Diceros bicornis minor: one gene and its partner. The protein of the gene in region 1 purifies or fractionates together with the protein of each later gene. This does not show direct contact. Links are inferred from orthologs where the notes say so. Each region holds a gene or a part of one and is shown in the gene's direction. Other genes may lie near its edges.

Region 1 (7,492 bases):
TGAGTCATCCTGAAAAGACTCACCCAAGAGGGGAGCCTGCCAGGCAAGGGGAAAAGAATGTGGGGTGTGTCCTGGGGTATGAATGGAAAAGAGGTGTGCAAGAGGTCAGCTGACGCGTGCAATGAGTCCCCACGGGGGTCTCCAAAGATCCCCCAGTGTGTCTCATGTAAAAGCCAGCATGTGAGTGCTTGCCAGGACATGTGGGGACATCTGACACTCGAGAGAGTACTATACCTGTACTCACCTGTTCTCAGCTCAGGGTCCCTTTTCCACTCCTCTCTCTGCTCCAGGTGAGCTGGAGAGGAGGCAGGAAAGGACACACCTGCCCTTGTCTCCACTGCAGATTCATTAGCCATCCGTGGGTCCAACTCGAGGGGGTGGGGAAGAAGGTATTAAACTGGATATGAGAATGAAGTTTTGATTGGACTAGACTGGACTTCTAATACCTGAATATGAGACTGTTCTTAGAGTTGAAACTAAAAGCTATGGGATCTAATGAGATATTGCCAAGTTCAGCTCACTCAGTAGCCCAATGACAATGATTTATTTCTGCCATGGATAAAGCCACTCTGAGACACGCATCATTCAGAGGTCATATGCAGTTTCTGGGATGAAATAAAACAATAAAAACAACAACACAATTCTCATCAGTTAGCTCCTGTTCTCCAAGCTTGAAATTGGGGAGGTTCTTATTGGTCTGAGGTGCAAACCACCTTAAGCTATACCAGGAGGAGCAACACAAATGCCTACAGGGGCCAGGCAGGAAACAAATAATGAATGAAGGGGGCTGGGTGGGGACTGTGGTGAACTGGAGAGCCTGTGTCCCATCTGGAAGGGACAGGTGCCTCATATCTAGCCAATAGTTGCCCAACGTGGCCAGATCTTCCCATTTTCCCAGAAAGGCCAGAAATCTCCATTTTTTGTAGTATTTCCTGATTTTGGAATTATTGGCAAGAATATTAGTCAGGGTTCTTTGTTGCAAACGACACAATCTACTCCAGGTCGTTTAAGCAGAATTGCTTTAATAGGGCGGTACTATGGACTGAATTGTGTGCCCCCAAATTCATATGTTGAAGCCCTAACCCCCCATATATCTTTACAGTCTTTAGGAGGTAATTAAGGTTAGATGAAGTCAAAAGGGTGAGGCCTTAATCAAATAGGGCTGTGGCCTCATAAGAAGAGGAAGCCATATGAGTCACGTCTGCCATGTGAGGATACAGCGGGAAGGCGCCATCTGCAATCCAGGAAGAGAGCTCTCACCAGACCCCAAACATGCCAGCACCCTGATCTCAGACTTCCAGCCTCCACAACTGTGGGAAAATAAGTTTCTGTTGTTTAAGCCACTCATCTATGGTATTTTGTTATGGCAGCCTGGGCAGACTAAGACAGGTGGTTAGAAAGCCTATAGAATTTCCAGGAGGACAAGAGAGCCAGGCTCGGACTGTGCAGCCAGGACTAATGTGAAACCACACTGTGGGGCTGCCCCTATGAACACCACGCCATGCCTCTCAGCACAGACATGAAGCTTACACAGGGGCAGGACACCTGGAAACAGGTGCATTGGCTGCTATGCTCACTAGCAGATAGATTCCTCCCCTTTGTTTCTCACTTTCCAGCAGAAATCTCATGTGATGTGTCAAATGGTAGAGCTTAGATCTCATGAGACATGGTTGCAAGGAAGGTGCTGGAAAAGTGCTTCAGTTTCTCTTATGGAGAGGTGGAACTCATAATGTGGGATATTTTCCAAACATAGAAGGATATTCAAAGGAGGCTAGGTGGATGCAAAGTATAACAAATGTCCACTACAGCAATCAATTGAAAAAAGGGGAGGGGTCAAACAGACGCATTTGTGTGGTGCTTATAGCTCTGCCAGTTGATGACTTCTGACCTCTGGGCTATTTTCACTGTTTAAACTTCCACTTCCTTTGAAAACAACTAGAAAAGTCAGATCAAATCATCATCATCATTTCATCATCATGTGCTTAATGACATTCAGAGAGCTGCTGAAGCAACCAGGACCGAAGGGGCCAGGATTCTGGAGAGAGGGGAACCGTGTTGAGGCGAGCTGACAGTCTGCAGCCACTGTTTCCCTGGGGACGTTTGCAAATTTGGGCAGATGGAATCTAGACTTTTCCCAGCTAAGGGGGCTGCTGCTGGGGGACAGAGAAACCAGCAGAACTTTTGGCACTCTCACAGGGTTGGAGACACAATCGGGGACTTGAGAGGCTAATATCCCAGAGAGAAGGGAGGGGCAGAAAAGTGAGCTTGATGGATGGCAGTCTTCCCCTTAAAGCATTTGGCAAATTCCGAAACAGTGCAGGCCAAGAGGCTAAGAAGCCAACCAGAAAGCCCCTGAAAAACAGAGCAGTTTTCAGCAGTCTTGCCAAGTTATGGAGACAAAGATGAGTGCTCAGGACAAGAGGGGAGGGGCTTTGGTGAACACCCCAAGTTCTCATTTGGAATCCCTGAAAGGCAAAGCCTTAGGAATGGGGGTCAAAGTTAGATGGTGTCTTATCAGACCTGTAACCCAGTCTCCACTCAGCTCAGCCTCTGATAGAATCAAGATGATCAGTCCCCACACCATCTGTCCTGCAAAGAAAGGGTGAGCCCTCTCCAGAGCTGGATAACATCACCTGGAGACTCTGTATTTTTTCATACACAATGCCTGGCATTCAACAATTACAAGACCTGCCAAGAGACAGGACCACATCACTGAAAACACAGAGAAAAACAGTCAATGGAAACAGACCCCACGGGTGACCGAGGTATCAGAATTAGACAAAGGCTTTAAAATAACCATGATTAATATGTTCAAGAAAAACAAAGCAAAAGATGGAGAAAATAGATGAAAAGAGAATTTTACCAGAGAATTGAAATCCATAAACTTCATAGTCCAAAAGCGTGAGAACATAGAGAACTCTCCTGAGCTCCTCATGACAGAGAGATTTTGAAAATGCTGATTCAGCTCTGTATGAGCAAAAAAAACCCATGGCCCACAGTCTTAAAAAAAGTTTGCCTTTGGGGCCGGCCCTGTGGCTTAGCGGTTGAGTGCGCGCACTCCGCGACTGGGGGCCCAGGTTCGGATCCGGGTGCGCAGGGACGCACTGCTTCTCTGGCTATGCTGAGGCCACATCCCACATACAGCAACTAGAAGGATGTGCAACTATGACATACAACTATCTACTGGGGCTTTGGGAAAAAAACAAAAAGAGGAGGATTGGCAATAGATGTTAGCTCAGAGCCGGTCTTCCTCAGCAAAAAGAGAAAGATTAGCACGGATGTTAGCTCAGGGCTGATCTTCCTCACAAAAAAAAAAAAAAGAGTTTGCCTTCACTGGCTGTCATTCTCCATACCTCTCAAGTGGCTTCCTTTTAAGGGGCACATATTGTACCATGTGTTCTGAGTCTACTCTGCCCTGTAAGCCCAGTTCCCTGGCATGGAGCTCTGGTCACCAGGAGAAAGAGATGTCTCTTGCTAACAATCCTCAATACATCCTTTGGGCAATGTGTGTTGAGAGTACCATTAATTGAGGTGGTCAGAGATGAAGCCTCTCTGAGATGACATTTGAGTTGACCCTGAGTGACAAGGAGCCAACCAGGAGAGCTAGGGGGAAATGTGGTCCAGGCAGAGTGGATATAGAGTGCAAAGAACTCCAAGGCAAGGATATGTTTGGTGATTTAATCAGGGGTTGGCAAACTTATCTGTAATGGGCCAGATTAGTGAATATTTTAGGCATTGCAAGTCATACAGTGTCTGTTGCAACTACTCAATTCTGGTGTTATAATGCAAAGTAACCACAGACAATAAATGAAAGGGTGGCAGTGTTCCAATAAAACTTATTTATGGACACTGAAATGTGAATTCTTTATAATTTTCACGTGTCAGAAAATACTCTTCTTTTGATTTTTTTCCAATCATTTTAAAATGTAAAAAGCATTTTTAGCCCTGAGGCCATAGTTTGCTAATATAAGGTCGGTTAGGTAGGCTGGGATCAGATCTTTCAGGGCATGTCGGACACAATAACAGTCAGATTAAGGCAAAGCCCCTTTCCCCCTCCAAATGGACAGCCACCGGCAGGGTAACTGCAGGCCAGGGCACCAATGCTGCGAGGCCGCTTCCCACAGCTCATGGAAGATCATCAGGTATGTTTTATTTTCCACCAGTAACAAGAAAGGACAAATGAACGAAAAGACAGACACGCACATCGAGCCAGAAAGCCAGAGAGGACGTGCCCAGGTTCACGCTGATGTTTCTCCCGCACGCACTACGGGTTTTAAAGTTGGGCGCACACCTGCTCCCAGCCAGAGCGCACCTGCTGAGCAGTACTTGGCCTCGTCTCGCGAGAGCGCTGCTGTAGTAGTGGCCCCCACCCCCATCCCGCCACCAAATCCCTCTCCCCGCCTCCTCGCCCAGCCTCCGCGCTCTGGCACCCTCCCCGCCACCTCCACCGCCCCGGAGCAGCCTCGGCCGCCGCGCGCGCTTCCCCCACGCCCCCGCCCGCCCGTCGCTCGCTCGCACGCACGCCCGCTAGTAATTTCACTTTGCCACGCGAGCTCCGTATCCCGAGAAATCCCGCCCCCCGCTCCCCCTGGCCCCGCCGGGAGCCGGCCCTTTCCCCGGCCAGGTGCGCGAGCCTGCGCGCTCCTCCCCCGCCTCCTCCGGCGGGTCCCTGGCGCGCCGGGGCCGGGGCCCGGCTGGGGCGGATGCGCGCACGGCGCCTCTCCACCAACCCGCTCCCCTGCAGGTCCCTCGCTCGCTCGCTCGCCATCCCTCGCCGGCGCTCCCTCGCTCCCCCCACCCCCCCTTGATTGACAGGCAAGATGTCGGTGTGGAGCGAGGCAGGAGCGAGTGCAGCAGCCGTCACCCCCGGAGCCCGGCGGCGGCAGCAGCAGCAGCAGCAGCAGCAGCGCGAGGAGGAGACAGCAGCCAGCCGCAGTCGCCGCCGCAGCCGCGGGAGCAATGCAGACAGCATCTTGAGAACGCGCTAAAGCCCCCAAACGCTGGACAATGCCGTGTCACTGCAACTGGGAGGGGGGCAAAGCAGAATTTTTTTGACATAAAAGCAAGCCAGCCAAAAATATATAATTTTGTCCTTCACGGAGCCGGTGTGTAAAGAGTGAGCGCTGTTTTCCTTCTCCCCCTCCTCTTCCTCCTCCCCTTCTCCCTCCCCCCACTCCTCCTCTTTTTCCTCCTCCTCCTCCCTAAGTGTACAGACAGCATCACATCACCTGGTTTGCTTCTGAGAAACAGCATCTCTCCTTTTCAAGGACCAGAGACTCAGAGAGAGGAGACATTCTAATGGAGTCTGCTTGATACCCCAAAATAAAATAATAAATTTTGGCTCCTGTCCCCTCCTCCCACCCCCACCCCCTCAACCCCGTGTGAGATGTTGGGTTTCTTCTTCATGAGACATTGTTGAGAAGTCGCAGTGGTTGGAGAGGCGGCGGGGGTAGACTACCTCCCCCCCCCCCTTTTTTCTCTCTGGGAGGAGGAGGAGGGGAAGGGGGCTTGCAGAGCAAGCGATGGATGAGGAAAACATGACGAAAAGCGAGGAGCAGCAGCCTCTGAGTTTGCAAAAAGCCTTACAGCAGTGCGAGTTGGTCCAAAACATGATAGACCTGAGCATCTCCAACCTGGAAGGGCTTAGGACCAAATGTGCTACCTCCAACGACCTCACACAAAAAGAAATCCGGACCCTGGAGGTAGGTGCTGCCTACGGGGGAAAAAGCAATCCTTGCTTCCCTCCGCTGTCTCCCCGCCGTCCCCTTTCCTTTAATTCTGTTTGTATGGGGGGTGGGGGGGGGTGGCAAGGTGGGCACGATGTGGTTTTCTGTGATTTATCTTGCAAAGCCTGCACTGGGTGGCCCTTTACTGTACTGCTGTCGTCTACGCTTGGCTGGGTGGTGGTAGTAGTAGTAGTAATTGTTATTCTTTATTATTATTCTTGCGGCTGTTATTATCATTTGCTTCTTCTCTAAGGAGTGAGTTCTCTCTTTTTTCCGCTCGTGGATTTGTTTATATGCCATGGGGGCTCGTGTGCCGGGTAAGACATTAAGGCGCTGCAGAGAACCCACAGAAAACCACGTGACCTTGCGCATTCTGCAGGTGGTCAAAAGGTGGTTTTGCTCGCAGAATGGGGCTGCCTATAAATACAGACCTCTTCTTCTCTCGGCCTGCTTCCCAGCGCCCCTTTTGCTCCTTGGATTTTGTGGTTTTTCCAGTGATGTATGTATGTCAGGAGGCAAGATGCATGAAAAAAAAATCCCCATTGAGCTACTCATTTCCAATCAAATCATTTGGATGCAGGGAGATGTTGCAGGCCTAAAACGCGTAAAAAGCTTAAAAAAAAAATAATTCCTGGAACAGCACACACAAGTGGTGTGGGAAAATACTCTTGAATCTCGGTGGGACCGGGAGGAAAGGGGTGGGAGGAGGAGTTATCGTTGGTTTGTTGTAACATTCTCTCCAACAGAACTTCAGGGGGAGTTTGAAGCAGTTTTGTGGGGGTGGGATGGATGCAAAGTTACTCAGAAAGAAGATGGCAGAAATTATTTCTTCCAAAAGCTATTTGGTCAAAGGCGGAAGGTTTCAAGAGCCTTAGAAAATGCCTGTGTCCATGTTATCATTGGGCATCCACGATGCTTGCAACATCTGAAGGGTTCCACTCACTTTTCTCTCTCAAACCGGCCCAGCCGTACACATGGCTTGATTAAATTTGGGAACTCCCATTAGCTGGCATTTGCTGAGAGTGGTGGCAATGGGGCTGGGAGCAAAGAACAGAGGTTCTGCCTGTGGTGGAGTGGGCATGTGCAATGCTGGCAGGTTCCTTCTATTTCCAAGGCCTGAACTCTTCAATCCTTACAGCATCTTTTAACCCTGGTGCCCCTGTTCTAGCCTGGATGAGCACCTCTCTCTGATTCACTGTCTTTCTTTTTCCTCTATGGTTTTAAATTTGGCTAGATGTCAGCCCGCAGGAAGGTCATCAGTTTGAAAGTGGAGTTTGTGTGTGTGTGTGTGAGTGTTGAATATGCTGTTTGCTACCCTCGAATGTGTGTCTAGGTGCACCTGTCATCTGGGAGAATGATTCTCAGAAATGAAATAAGATGAATGTCAAAGGGTGTTAGAGGAGTGGGAATTCTGTTGGGAGGCACAGGTCTTTTCTTTCTCAGAGGTTGGGGAGAGCAGTCTAGTCTAGGACTCTGCTGCTGGAAGAAAAATGTGGGATGCCCTGGGCCAGCCTCCTGTCTGAGCAGTGACCAAGATAAAATTCTGTTCAGAACTGCGTGCAGTAAGTAAATAAGTAACCCCAAAGAGCCACATGGGGTCTCTTCTGGTCCTCTGAGTCAGGAGTCCCAAATGCTAGTTTGCGTACGGCTGTGTAAGTTTCTCAAGTTTTCTTTGCCTCTTCAACGTGCTCCATCCTCTGATAACACCTTGGAGAATGGTGGTTGTCACAGTGGGCTCTGGATTCTGTGGCTTCTTTTCTGCCTAG
Region 2 (7,351 bases), on another chromosome or scaffold:
GCCACAATTCATTTATCAATTCCTCCACTGAAGGACATTTGGGTTCTTTCCAGGTTTGGGTCTATTACAGATAAAGCTTTATGAACATTCGTGTTCAGGTTTTTGGGTGAACCTAAGAGCTCATTTCTCTTGGGTAAAGACCCAGGAGTGTGATGGCTGGGTCATATGGTAAGTGTACCTTTAACTTTCTAAGAAACTGCCAATTATTTTCCAGCTGGTATTCCTACCAGCAATGTACGAGAGTCCCAGTTGCTCTGCATCCTCGTCAACACTTGGTATTGTCAACTTTTTTAATTTTAGCCACTCTAATAGGTGTGTGGTAGTATCTCATTGTGGTTTTAATTTGCGTTTCCCCAATGGCTAATGATGCTGAGCCATTTTCATTTTATAAAAATAGTGTCACATGGGGCTGGCCCAGTGGCGTAGTGGTTAGGTTCACACACTCTGCTTCTGTGGCCCAGGGTTCGCAGGTTCAAATCCCTGGCCTACTCACCGCTCACCAAGCCGTGCTGTGGCAGTGTCCCACATACAAAATAGAGGAAGATGGGCAGAGATGTTAGCTCAGGGCCAATCTTCCTCAGCAAAAAAAAAAAAAAAAGGAAAATAAACTTAAAAAATATGGTGTCACAGACAGTCTTCTGTAATTTTACGTTTTTAAGACTTTTTTACGTGGTTGTCATTTGTGTGCCCAATATTTCTTTGTGGGACAATGCTAGAACATATTTTTCCATTCCTCCGTCAATGGATATTTACGTAGTTTCCAGATTTTTGCCATCGAGAACATAGCGTCGGTGTCTCCTGGTTATATGAGAGCAAGAGTTTCCTAGGTTGTATGCCTAGGAGCAGAATTCCTAGGTTGTAGGGTATTCAAGATAGTACTAATGCTTTCCAAAGGGGTCAGGTCAGCAATCCTTTTGGTTAATCCACTGCACAGGTGAGAGCGATCAAGTTCAGGGTGCGTTTCCAGATAGGAACAGTGAACACATGTGACATTAATACTAGATCATGCCTAATCAAGATAAATGTCACTTTGCATTGAATCTATCAACAAAGCTGTTAGAAATTTATTTCTCAGCGGGAGGGAAGTGATTTAGGAGACACCCAAGTCTCTGGAAGCAGGAAACTGATGTACGAAGAAAGTGGGGATTGCAACCAACGATAAGCAGGGAGATATGTTAACACGGAGAGGCTGCAGAGCAGACTGCGCTGGCCAGACAAGATAAAGGAGTGGAGGATGTGAGTCTGTACTGTAAGCTGGATAATAAAAGCTCATGTACTATCACAAGTTCTGAGAATCGGGTGATTAGTAGGAAATTTACGTCTCTGAGGACAGGAACGCCCGTTTCATTCATTCAAGTAGCATTAATGTATGAAGCATCAACTGTATCCGAGTGGCTGATCTGGGAGAGGAGACGAATTCAACCTCTTCCATGCCTTCAAAACGTTCGTAACTAGCAGGGAAGGCAAAACGAAAGAGCAGTGATGTGCATCAGAACGCGGTGAGAGCTGTAAACCAGAAATAAACAGGGTGCCCTGGGAATTGCAAGTAGGTAGCTGGCAGAAGCTGGGAGAAGCAGACTTGCTGGAAAACGTGGCATGTGAGCTGAGCCCCCAAATAGGAACCAAGAAGAACTGAAAACGCTGATCATCAGAAAAGATATGATCTCTTCACCCTCCTCAAGAAGGTAATCCCCAAAATATACACCATGGTATGTCATATGGCGTGGAAAAAGAACAAGTTAGTGTTATACGCAACCCCACGGGAGAATTGCAAAAACATTGTGCTGAGCAAAAGAAGTCAGACACAAAAAGAGTATGTACCGTACCATTCCATTTCTATGAGGCCCTAGAACATGCAAAATGAATCAGTGGGGATAGAAATCAGAATCTAGAGTGTCTCTGGGGCAGTGGTGTGCTGTGGCCAGCTCGTCTTGGCTCATAGGAGCCTCTTGTTACCATTCTTTCCAGCTTCGTGGTAGCTGGAAATCAGCCATGGTGGAAATATTTACACCGCAGAAATGGGCAAATGTTACAAATTATATATCAGCCTCTCTGTGCCCCCTCCCCCAGTTCCTTACTTCAAAAGCCCGCTGTTAAACATTTACCAGGACACCACTGCTGATTAGGGCGAGGGAGATTAACTGAATAGGGCACTGAGAAACTTTCCGGAGTGACAGAAATGTCCTACGCCTTGTTTCCGGGAATGGTTACATGGGTATATACAATTGTAAAAGTCGAATGTTCTCGAACATTCGAGAACTGTGCATTTATTATATGTAAGTTATAGCTCAATAAAAAAGACTCTATGGATATACACAGCCTAAAATGAAATAAAATGATGAAGAGATCACTTGGCAGAACAGAAAGAAAGAGGAAACGCCCAGAGCTGAGAAAGGTCACGGCATTATCTGAGGCCAGATGAACATTCCCCTGAATTTTGGGTGAGTGGGTGGGAGCAGCCAGAGACAAAACTGAAAACGCTCAGACTGTGGAAGTGGTGGTGCAGACGTGTCTGGGAACAGGTTTAATCAGGGGAGAGCTATGGTTACATCTTTGCATTTTTAGAACATGGTCACATTTTGCAATTATGTATATGTGTATTATGTATCTGTTTTTTAAACATTGTATCTCTGGTGTCCAGCACTGTAGCTTTCACATAAAGGGCGTTGCAAATCAATTGTTAAAAGAACGTCTGAAGGGCACCCGGAGAGGAAGTCGGCAGGACTGAGCCGGGGAGACCAGGGCACCTGGGCTGGATGGACCCTGGAAGAGACTGTTCACTGCGCCTGTGTCTTCCCATGTGGTTCCCAAAGGGGCACCCCACCATGAAATGTACACCCGTGCTCAGAGACGTGACAAAAAGAAAAGCAATGCGGGGAGTTTTTCATGAAGTCAACTTTTTCTCGTTTAAATGACTGTCGTTTATTCTGTGTCACGTACTTCCTTCTTTTCTTTTCTTTTTTTTTATTGGTGTTAAAATGACCTTTCTCATAAAATGGTGTCGCCGCTGTGGAAAACACTTTGGTGGTTCCTCAAAAAATTAAACATAGAATTACCATACGATCCAATGATTCCACTTTTGAGTAGATATCCAAAAGAATTGAAAGCAGGAATTTGGATAGATATTTGCACACTCATGTTCACAGCCAGATTATTCATAACAGTCAGAAGGTGGAAACAACCCAAATGTCCATCAATGAACAAATGGAGAAACACAATGTGGTCCATCCATACAATGGAATTTTTTTTCTCCCCAAAGCCCCAGTAGATAGTTGTATGTCATAGTTGTACATCCTTCTAGTTGCTGTATGTGGGACGCAGCCTCAGCATGGCCGGACAAGCAGTGCGTCGGTGCGCGCCCGGGATCCGAACCTGGCCTGCCAACATCAGAGCACACGCACTTAACCGTTAAGCCCCGGGGCCGGCCTGATACAATGGAATATTATTCAGCCTTAAAAAGGAAGGAGATTCTGACACCTGCTCCAACATGGATGGACCTTGAGGACATGACACGCAGTGACATGAGCCAGACCCAGAAGGACAGACACTGTGTGATCCCCTCACAGGAGGCCCCTAGAGGAGTCACAGCCACAGAGACAGAAAGTGGATGGTGGGGCCAGGGGCTGGGGGAGGGGAGGGGAGTCAGTGTTTCCTGGGGACAGAGTCTCAGCTTGGGAACATGGAAAGTTCTGGAGACGGATGGTGGGGATGGTTGCACAACAATGTGAGTGTGCTTCATTGCTACTGAGCTGTGCACTTAAAAATAGTCAAAATGGTAAGTTTTATGTTACGTATATTTACCACCACAACAAAAAAGTTTTACAACGACCTCTCTTTTTAAAAGAATGGGGATACTTGATATTATGAGGTGCTAGTGGGAAGGGGGGGGTTCCAGAATTGGCAAAAAGACTTAAAGTGACTCTGGGTCCACCTCTCACAATTTTGGGGGATTTCACTGGCTCATGTAGTCCCCGTCTGGCACCCACACGGCTGTGAGGGTCTGACCTCTCCCCTGCCCACCTGCCCACGCTCATCAACCCCACCGCCGCCTCCCTCCCGCCCTGCCTTTCCCGGTCCCCAGCGCATGCGCACTCGCACGGTGGGAGGCGAGAGCGCGCTGCTCCAGGCACCGCCTGGAGTCGGTCTCCGCCCCTTCCACCTTAGGGGAGGCGGCCTCGGCTGGTGCGCACGCGCCGCGGGGAGGGGCGGGGCCCGGCGCGGCGGCTGGCGGTGGTTCTCGCGAGAGGCCGGCTCGCGATCTCGTCGCTCCCCTCCCCTCCCTCGGCCTTCGGGGCTCTGGCTGCAGCGTCAGCCTGGCTCGGGCCTCGGCGGCGGCGGCGGCGGCAGCGGCGGCTCCTCGGCTTCAGCCCCGGCGCCCCCCGGCGCCCCTCGGCCCCGGTCGGCAGGCCGCCCGCCCTCGCCGCCCCGGCGCCGGCTAGGCCGCGGCCGCAGCCCCGGGCTCGCGTCGGCGCCGCCCGCTCCCGGCCCGCCCCCTATGGGCCCCGGCTGAGGCGCCGCCGCCGGCCCGCGGAGCCCCGATGCTGGCCCGGAGGAAGCCGGTGCTGCCGGCGCTCAACATCAGCCCCGCCATCGCCGAGGGCCCGTCCCCCACCAGCGAGGGCGCCTCCGAGTGAGTGGCCGGCCGGGGGCGCACGGGGGGAGGGGGCGGCGCGGGGGGTCTCGGGGGAGCAGGGGGAGGGGGCCCTGAGTGGCGAGGACAGAGGAGGGGGTCCTGAGTGGTGAGGACAGAGGAGGGGGTCCTGAGTGGTGAGGATGGGGGAGGGGGTCCTTGAGTGATGGAGGACGGAGGGAGGGGGTCCCCGAGAGGAAAAAACGGAGAGAGGGGGCCCTGGGTAATGAGGGAGGGGGAAGGGGGCCCTGAGTGATGGAGGAGGGGGTCCCCGAGAGGAAAGGATGGGGAGGGGGGGTCCCTGAGTGTTGAAGGACGAGGGGGGAGGGGGTTCCCGAGAGGAAAGGACGGGGAGGGGGGGCGTCCCTGAGAGGAAAGGACGGGGTGGTGGGGGGTCCCTGAATAGTGAGGTCAGGAGAGGGGGCCCTGATTAAAGAAGTCAGGGGGAGGGATCCCTGAGAGGAAGGGATGGGATGGAGGGTCCCCCCGAGAAGATGGGGAGAGCAGCCCTGGGTAGTGAGGGTGGGGGAGGGGGCCCTGAGCAGCGAGGATGGGGGAAGGGGGCCCTGAGTGGTGGAGGACGGGAGGAGGGGGTCCCCGAGAGGAAAAGACGGAGAGAGGGGGCCCTGGGTAATGAGGGATGGAGGGGGAGGTCCCCGAGAGGAAAGGATGGAGAGAGGGGCCTCTGGGTAATGAGGGGGGGGGGGTCCTGAGTGATGGAGGACGGGAGGAGGGGGTCCCCGAGAGGAAAAGACAGAGGGGGGGGCCCCTGGGTGATGAGGGAGGGGGGAGGGCATCCCCGAGAGGAAAGGATGGGGAGGGGGGCCGTGGGTAATGAGGGAGGGGAAAGGGGGGCCCTGGGTGATGAGGGAGGGGAGGGGGTCCCCAAGAGGAAAGGATGGGGAGGGGGGCCCTGGGTGATGAGGGATGGGGGAGGGGGGCCCTGAGTGTTGAAGGACGAGGGAGGAGGGGGTTCCCGAGAGGAAAGGCCGGGGGGGGGGGGGGCTGCGTCCCTGAGAGGAAAGGATGGGGTGGTGGGGGTTCCTGAATAGTGAGGTCAGGAGAGGGGGCCCTGATTAAAGAAGTCAGGGGGAGGGATCCCTGAGAGGAAGGGATGGGATGGAGGGTCCCCCCCAGAAGATGGAGAGAGGGGCCCTGGGTAGTGAGGGTGGGGGAGGGGGTCCTGAGTAGTGAGGATGGGGGAGGGGGCTCTGAGTATCGAGGTGGGGGGTCCTCAGTGATGGAGGATGGAGGAGGGTTCTTGAGAGGAGAGGATGAGATGAGGGGGCCCTGAGTAGCAAGGATGGAGGAAGGGGTCCTTGAGTGGTGACATCGGGTTGAGGGCAGGTTCTTGTGGGGAGAGGATGGGCTGAGGGGACTCTGAGTAGAGAATCAGGGCAAGGAGAGGTCCCTGAGGGGAAAGGATGGGGCGTGGGACCCTAAATAGTGAAATTGCAGTGAGGGGGGTGCCTGAGTTGTGAATTGGGGTGAAGGAGGTCCCTGCAGGGAAAGGATGGGCGTGGGGCCCCTGAGTACTGCGATCCGAGTTGGGGGGTCCCTGAGTCGTGAATCAGGGGTGATGGGGGGATTCCTGAGAGGAGAGGATGGGTCAGGGAGTCCCAGGCAGTGAGATAGGAGTAAGCGGGGAGTCCCTGAGTAGTGTGGTCAGAGTGCGGGATCCTGAGGGGAGGAGGAGGTGAGGAGGGTTCCTGAGTGGTGAGGACAGGTTGAGGGGTCTTGAGGGGGTCCCTATGGGGAGAGGACAGGGTGCGGGCGGTCCCTGAGTAATGAATCAGAGTAAGGGGCGACGGGAGGGTCCCTGGGAGTGAGGATGGGGTGAGGAGGTTCACAGAAGACCAGCAACAGGGAAGGGACGCCTGAGCGATGAGGATGGGGGACGGGTCCCTGAAGGGGTGTGGGGAGGAGGGGAGAGTCTCCGAGGGAATTGGGGGGAAAGGAGCCTGAGAGACTAAGGGCAGGATGAGAAGACCCTGCTGGTGGGGGAGAGGGAGCCCCTGGAAGTAGCAGAGAGGGGTGAGGAGGCTGGGGCAGCAGGGAGTGAGGGGGATGTGGAGGGGTGGGGTGTGGGGAGAAGTGGGAGGGGTGGGGGAAAGGAGCGGGGGCCCTGCTGGGACCCCTGAAGGCGCATAAGCAGAGCTTCTGAATCGAATGGACTGGCAGAGCCTCCGGGCTGGAGAAGTGCAGGCCGTGGAGGGAGACTGGAGGGCTTGGGGGCAGGGGACAGAGCAGGGAGCAGGGGGTGGCGGGGCTATGGGATGGCGGGATGGTAGTGTGTATGGTCACACCGGGGTGACCGCGTGGCCGCAAAAGTCCCCATGACCTCCCCACTCCCGCTCTCCATGCCGGTGGAGCGGAGTGGTCCAGAGGCCCGTGGCGGGGGGGTCCACTGGCTGTGCTTGTGGTGTGACGGGCAAAGGGCACATCTGGTCCCCTCGGGGACTTGGCCTCCTGCGTCCCGGGTGAAGGACGGTCTTCACGCACGTGTGTGTGTGAGCCGGCATCTTTCTCCATCTCCGACCGCACAGCTCAACGCGGGGACAGGCTCCTAATTTTCAGAAACCCGCTCCTTCTTCTTCCTCCGGGAGACCTCTTCCTTCCTCTGCCCTTCTCTTTCTTTGATGTGGTTTCTGATTTCCATCCCTTCAAGAATTCCCCCAGCAGAGGAGGCCAGCCATTGGAATTCCAGGGTTTTTTTTATAA

The links. Proteins that work in one complex are often made in the same cells at the same time.
Region 2: the proteins of KSR2 (region 1) and MAP2K2 purify together in Homo sapiens (affinity purification with mass spectrometry; 3 studies listed by BioGRID and IntAct, with this or other methods). This does not show direct contact. The link is inferred for Diceros bicornis minor from reciprocal best matches to the Homo sapiens genes KSR2 and MAP2K2.

What each region holds. Positions count from the first base shown.
Region 1 is NC_080774.1:15,001,192-15,008,683, reverse strand, and holds the start of KSR2 (kinase suppressor of Ras 2), read left to right. Parts: upstream 1-4,481; 5' UTR 4,482-5,522; coding exon 5,523-5,702; intron 5,703-7,492. UniProt on the Homo sapiens protein: Location-regulated scaffold connecting MEK to RAF. Has very low protein kinase activity and can phosphorylate MAP2K1 at several Ser and Thr residues with very low efficiency (in vitro).
Region 2 is NW_026691553.1:3,137,688-3,145,038, reverse strand, and holds the start of MAP2K2 (dual specificity mitogen-activated protein kinase kinase 2), read left to right. Parts: upstream 1-4,336; 5' UTR 4,337-4,538; coding exon 4,539-4,630; intron 4,631-7,351. UniProt on the Homo sapiens protein: Catalyzes the concomitant phosphorylation of a threonine and a tyrosine residue in a Thr-Glu-Tyr sequence located in MAP kinases. Activates the ERK1 and ERK2 MAP kinases.